Linked DNA regions of Sus scrofa. The protein of the gene in region 1 binds, or shares a complex with, the protein of each later gene. Links are inferred from orthologs where the notes say so. Each region holds a gene or a part of one and is shown on either strand. Other genes may lie near its edges.

Region 1 (3,268 bases):
CATTTGTACAGTTGATGTCAGAGAATGCCTGTGTTCTCTTCTAGGAGTTTAATGACGTCTTGCCTTATGTTTAAGTCTTTAAGCCATTTTGAGTTTATTTTAGTTCATGATGTTAGGGTGTGTTCTAGTTTCACTGATTTACATGCAGCTGTTCAGTTTTCCCAGCACCACTTGTTGAAGTTATTCACGTTTTTAAAATTATTTATTGTGGTAAGATACATTCAACATAAATTTTACCATCTTAACCATTCTGGATTTTTTTAGCTGTGCCCATGGTGTATGGAACCGCCCAGGCCAGGGATGGAAACCATGCCACAGCAGTGACCCAAGCCACTGCAGTGACAACACTACATCTTTAACTGCTAGGCCACCAGAGAACTCCTTGTCTTAACCATTCCCAAGTGTAGAGTTCAGTGGTATTAGATACATTCATTTGTTATTACAACAATCACCACCATCCACCTCTAGGACTCTTTTCATCTTGTAAACTGAAACTCTATGAATTATACAGTAATTCCCCATTTCTTATCCCTGGCAACCACCATTCTACTTTCTATATGAATTTGACTGCTCTAGGTACCTCAGGTAGGTGGAATCATAGAGAATTTGTTTTTTTTTTTTTTTTTTTGTGACTGGCTTATTTCACTCATCATAATGTCCTCCAGAGTCCTCTGTGTTGTAGCATGCGTCAGAATTCCGTTCCTTTTTTAAGGCTATTATACCATGGTATGTATATACCATATTTCGTTTATATATCCACCCATCCGTAGATGTGAGTTGCTTCCATCTCTCTGCTGATAACCCATATAGGGTTGTTAATGAGAATTAAATATATTCCTGGCATACGGTAAGTACCTAATGTATCTGCTCTAGTGTTTTTTGGTTTTTGCTTTTTTTTGTTTTTTTTTTTTTTTTGCTTTCTAGGGCCGCACCTGCGGCATATGGAAGTTCTAGGCTAGGGGTGGAATCAGAACTATAGCTGCCAGCCAACACCACAGCCACAGCCACACTAGATCCAAGATGCATCTGCAACCTACGCCACAGCTTCCAGCAATGCTGGATCCTTAACCCACTGAGCGATGCCAGGGATCGAACCTGCGTCCTCAAGGATACTAGTCGGGTTTGTAACCCACTGAGCCACAAGAGGAACCCCATGCTATTATTTTTTTTATTGTGGGGTAGGAGTATGTTTGACTTGTTTTACATATCCACGGATGCATCTGTGAGATCCTCTGTATTTCAGGAGCTTCCACAAGGGAAGAGTTTGGAGCAGTTACCTTTTAAAGATTACAATTTGGTAATTGAAAAATAAACATTTGATAAGAATTTAAAGAATCCAGAAAAGATCCAAGCTTTCCTCTAACCAGGTTTATTAAACATAACAAGATTCTATATATAAAGTGACCTAAACCTGCTGCTTCAAAACATGATACTTTCCTAACCAGTATTTTGATAAGTCAATCCATGGAATGGCAAAAAGCAGCTTACTCTAAAATTAATAGAAAAGCACCCAATGCACATTATACGAACAGCCTAACTACTGGAACTTGAATAGTTCTGTAAGGTAAGTATGAATGAGGCCCTGTGACAGGCTGCAGGAGAATGGACACAGGGTGTCAAGAGGCCATTTTATGCACGGCCACTGTGATGCCATCGTGCTTCTGGATCATGATGTTCCTGAAAGGCAAAGTGGAAGATATTCAGTAAAAGGCTACAGGTGGGAGTCAGTGTAAGATTAAAGATGCTGTTTGGTTTAGGATACAACTAAAAAAATAGTACTTATCATTTTTCTATGTATAAAAGCAATATATAAACACAACAGAGCATTTGGGAAATACAGAAAAGTATAAAATACGAAAATGAAATTAATTTTATAATCGTATCAAAGACAACCATTATTAGTATCTTCCTTTTTTAATCTGGTGTATAGCATACATATCTTCTCATTTTACAAAACTGTGATCATAATGAGCATAGTTTTGTATTCTGCTTTTTTCATTTACTATTGTTCAGAGGACCCTCACTCAAAACATCTTTATATTTCTATTACTACACACACCGTTTCTGTTCTTGGTTTAGTCTTCCTCTGCTTTCTTTTACTGATAGTTCGTGACAGCTCTTACTCTTCATTTACATGTACCACTGTGGTCTGAAAGCACAAGAGCTTCAGAGATCAATGCAACAGCTCCTATGGTCCAAAGGGCGGAACCATCCTCCAAGTACTTTAAATGAACACAGGGCAAGCCCCAGTCAAGTTCCCCAGGGCTTTTTCTGAATCAAAAGGAAAGGAAGGGATCTGCTGACATCTACTCACCCGTTATCTGATTCTAGACACACGACAGGAATATCGGTGGGGTCTGAGGTTAGCTTAGCTGCTTGCTGGGCTAGGACAGATATCACCCCAGCATGCTCATCAGACAGGGTCCCTCGGCCTAGAAGACAGATATGGTATCATGTTGCCTGACTGTCCAAAAATGAGTACAGAGCTATAGTAGAACTAAACTCAGTTATTCACAAAAAGAAGGGTCAGCTCCTGGGCTCTTAGCTACTGTTAGTACTGTACGGACATGAAATGATTCTGCCCTGAGACTCAGCTGGTTATCTCAGTGAGGAAGCCAGACAACAGCTTTTAAGTCAATAAAGCCGTAACACTCAGTTCTCCAAGTCATTTCCATCACCATCTTCAAACACCTTCTCAAGCATGTAAGGAAGCTATAATTCAAGTCAGTCTGGAAGCAAACTGAAACCAAGACGAAATTCAGAGGTGAGACTGACAAAAAGCAGTCAGTAAGGACAAGAGACGTTGAAACTAATTAATTCCTGGAGTTCCCTCATAGCTCAGTGGGTTAAGGATCTAGCATTGTCACTGCTATGGTGCTGGCATAGCTGTGGCATGGGTTTGATCCCTGGCCTGGGAACTTTGCATGCTGTGGGTGAGGCCCTCCCCCAAAAATCCCAACTAATTAATTCCTCATGGGAAATCTAATTTCCTTTTACTGAGTTCAACTTCAAAGAATATAAAGATCTTGGCTCAAGAGTTTAGCTGTAGGATCTCCTTAACAGCATACATAACTATTCTATAAGCAATTATGTCCATTAGAACAAGCTGGTTGTTTTCAAATAGGAACAGAATTAGCTTTTTACTAATGTCTGTTTTAGCCTGTAGATAATAACTTAGGTGTGAGGTACAAAAAGTAATCACTAAGTTTACCGTATATTTCTGTATATAGAGGCAACACAAGCCCATGTACTTGAAACCAGGTCAGGT
Region 2 (3,753 bases), about 16 Mb from region 1:
TGCATCCTTTACCCCCTCTTTCCCCAAGGGCTCCTCTTGAGAGAGACTGTATCTTCCTTCCATGTCTCAGGCACAGCAGGAGCTTCAGCTGGGGGGACTTTGGCCATAGCCTTGGACATGGAGTCCTGAGCCCATTCCAGCTTCAGCACAGCCACCTACTAACCAAGTTACCCTGGGAAACTCAATCTCCCAGAAGCTCAGTTTCTCCTCTTCTCAACTATCCCACTCTAGTTGATGAGGGTGCTAATAGACAGGAAGGGATTAACTGACCCTAGTTCAATTAAGAAGGCTGATCAGCTTTGAAAAGAAAAAAAAAAGAGAAATGAAGTACATCGCATACAGTAAGGAAAGTACTGTTTTAGGAAACTTTGATTTTAGTGGGATACTCTGACTTAAAATATATTTATTATGGCTGCACTGTGGTCAAAACACTTGAAAGCTATTGCCCTTAGATCACCAGTTCTAGGGCAGGCAACCTAGGAATCACTAGTTAGGAGTCATCAGTTGAACTGGCATCCTTGGTTAAGGGAGTAAGGAAGAGGCTGCTGACTGAGTTCCACTGGCAATTCTTTCTGGAAAGTTCACTCTTGGGGACTTTTCAGTTTGGCTCAGAAAACTTTCACTAAATATCCACTGTGTGCTTAGAACCAGATGCTGCATCTCCTGCCTCTCTGGCCTCATCTACTAACCTCTCCCATTCTCTCGCTACTCCAGCCACTTCAACCTTGTTGATTCTTGACCAGGCATCATTGTGCCTCTGCCTCAGGGCCTTTGTACTTACTGTTCTCTCTGTCAGAAATGTTCTTCGCCCAGACAGCCATATGGCTTGCCAGCTTCCTTTAGATCTATGATGACTTGTCCCCTTTGCAGTAATATTGTCCCTCTCTCACTTCCTTGCTTTTTCTCCACAGCATTTTCAATACCTAACATACTACTTTTTCTTTCTTTCTAGGGCCGCACCTGCAGCATACAGAAGTGCCTGGCCTAAGGATGGAATCAGAGTGGCAGCTGCTGGCCTACACCATAGACACAGCAGACATGGGAGCTGAGACGAATCTGAGACCTATGCTGCAGCTTGCAGCAATGCCGGATACTTAACCCACTGAGCCAGCCAGGGATCCACCTTCATCTCCATGGATACCAGTTTTTTGTTTTGTTTTGCTTCTTAGAGCCACGCCCGAAGCATAGGGAGGTTCCCAGCCTATGGATATAATCAGAGCTACAGCTGCCAGCCTATGCCACAGCCACAGCAATGCACCAGATCCAAGTTGAGTCTGCGACCTACACCACAGCTCATGGCAACGCTGGATCCTTAACCCACTGAGCAAGACCAGGGATTGAACCTGCAACCTCATGGTTCTTAGTAGGATTTTTTTCTGCTGCACCACAACGGGAACTCCTGGATACTAGTTCTTAATCCACTGAGCCATGACGGGAACTCCACATACTACTTTTTAAACTTATGTATGTATGTTACAAAACATATTTATGAACTGATTTTACAAACATACATATTTTACTTATTTTAAGGCATATATGAGACATTAGGGCTGCAGTTTTTGTTTGTCCTGTTTGCTATTTTTTTCCCAGGTCCTGAGAATACTGCAAGGACCTAAAAATTTGTTAACTGAACAGATATAAAGGTGAATGAGACAGGTTCTGTTCCCAAGAAATTCAGTCTAATGGCGCTTCCTCTTTCTGGACTTTATCTCCTTTTTCTGTAAACTGAAGGAACTGGACTAGGGTCTGGACACTTTGCCATGCTTCTGAGTCTGAGAATCTCAGATGACAACACTTTGTGTCTGCATATCACTCTACAGTTTACACCTACCCTTTCATTTGATCACAACAACCCTGTGTGCGTGATGTGGTGGTGGGGATTATTTTCACACTGGAGATGTGGTAAAAAAGCTTGTGACTTACCCAAGGTTCCACAAATGGCAAGTGGCTGGCTGAGACTAGAACCCAGCCAGACCTCGGGTCCAATACTCCTTCCTCATCACCACTTGATACATAGGGTCCTGCCTATTATAAATGCTGCTGCAGACCAACTCTTAGTAATCTTCCAGAAATCCTGTCCCTGGGCCCCAACCATCCAGGATGGGGTCCAGGGTGCCCCTTGGGGGTCCCCTTAGGGACAGAGGAAATGGCTCCCCTCTCCATACCATGCAGTCCATGAGGATGAATTTGAGATTGTCTTCGTTAAATGCTTGGTTCCCGTTCCGGTCGTAGGCCGCCCAGATGTTACTGGCGATGGCTGCAGTGACTCGGGCGTCCGTATCCCCGTAACCAGAGTAGGCCAACAGAGATCCCTCGTTATTCAGCAGCCTGGAAAAGCATCAGAACGGATATCAACGTGCTCAGGATGGGGAGTAAAATACCTGACTTTCCATCCCAACTCGCCCACCGGCGCTCCTAGAAAGCAAGGGTCTGGGTTGAGTGTGTCCTAGAACATGCCCCAAACACCCAGCACGTCAGTTTCTCTTTCAAGAGTGGCCCTCTCGCCGGTTCACCCAAAGGCTGCCCCCTCTGCCACCTCCTCCCTTCCCAGAGAGCCTTCCCCACCCCTCCCTCGGAGAGCCGCGCGCAGCCCCACTCCAGTGCTCGCCGCTCGGCCTCTCGGTCCGCACTCACAGGGTGCTCTGGACACCTCCAGTGTTAGCTTGGCTTAGCACCTGGGTCAAAGCCTTGGGACGCAGCATGCCTGTGGCTCCTAACCCTGGGCTTTCACAACCTGATCCCGGAGTTTCCTATAACTGGCCTCCGCCTGCCGCTTCCCGTAGTCCAGCTGCCCGGCTCCAGAACTCCTGGGAGTTGTAGTTTCCTGGCCTGACTGTGCGGTTCTGACTCAACCCCGCCTCACCGCGGGGGGCGCTGGGAATTGTAGTTCCTCGAAGCTTCGCGAGGCACCCTGGGAACTACAGTTCGCCTTTCCAGTGAGACCACGCGGTTATGGGGGAAAAGAGCGGGAGTAAAAGGATAGTGGCAGTACTGGAAGGACATTTAACCCTCTCGGGCAGAGGAGTCATATCTGCTTGACAATCCACGATTCAGTAATTAAAAGAAAACAAAATTCCTATACTTGTCAGGCATACCTTGGGTTACTTCTCAAAGCAATTTTCTACATTATGCATAATTCTGTGAGATGAGGAGATAGATGCTATTGAGGAAATAGGCTCAGAAAGGCCATGCAGGCAAAAATCCAGGTCTCTGGAACTGTACTGAATAGACTTCTTGGAGGCCGCTACCCTCAGGGGAATTAAGTCAATCCTACAGAAGAGGTTTTAGGTAGATATCCAGAAGTGGAAAATTCAGCCTCCAAGTCGGGAGAAGCCTCAGGCCTGGAAAGGATTTGGGCTTTCCAAGAAAGACCAGTTATCATAGGGAACGGAGATAAAGCGGCGACACAGAAAGTCCTTTGTCCCGGAGAAAGAGTTAGTCGCGGAGGGGGCGGGTAGCTTTGGGCCCGGGGGCGGGGGGTTGGCACCTCAGCGCGACTCGGACCGGCTACCACGGGCGGTGGTCTCTCCCGGAGAGTTTGCTTCCCGCCCCTGTCCGGAGCAGCCCCTTTGGGGGCCGCCGCCCAGCAAGGCCCTGCCCAGGCTGCAGACCCCGGGCTCGGCCCTGGGCGGACCCCGCTGCAGTGGCCCCCCCGGTCCGCCCGGGGCGCTGTGGCTGCGGCTGGTCCGGAGGGGGCGGTGAAGCCTTGGGGAGGGGAGGGGAGAGGGGAGTGTTGGAGGCGCCGGAGCCGAG

What was found.
Region 2: LAMTOR5 (region 1) and LAMTOR2 share a complex: the UniProt entries of both Homo sapiens proteins name them as parts of the ragulator complex. The link is inferred for Sus scrofa from reciprocal best matches to the Homo sapiens genes LAMTOR5 and LAMTOR2.

What each region holds. Positions count from the first base shown.
Region 1 is NC_010446.5:109,725,620-109,728,887, reverse strand, and holds the end of LAMTOR5 (ragulator complex protein LAMTOR5), read right to left. Parts: intron 2,433-3,268; coding exon 2,315-2,432; intron 1,678-2,314; coding exon 1,617-1,677; 3' UTR 610-1,616; downstream 1-609. UniProt on the Homo sapiens protein: As part of the Ragulator complex it is involved in amino acid sensing and activation of mTORC1, a signaling complex promoting cell growth in response to growth factors, energy levels, and amino acids.
Region 2 is NC_010446.5:93,972,652-93,976,404, forward strand, and holds the start of LAMTOR2 (ragulator complex protein LAMTOR2), read right to left. Parts: upstream 2,911-3,753; 5' UTR 2,703-2,910; coding exon 2,635-2,702; intron 2,329-2,634; coding exon 2,166-2,328; intron 1-2,165. UniProt on the Homo sapiens protein: As part of the Ragulator complex it is involved in amino acid sensing and activation of mTORC1, a signaling complex promoting cell growth in response to growth factors, energy levels, and amino acids.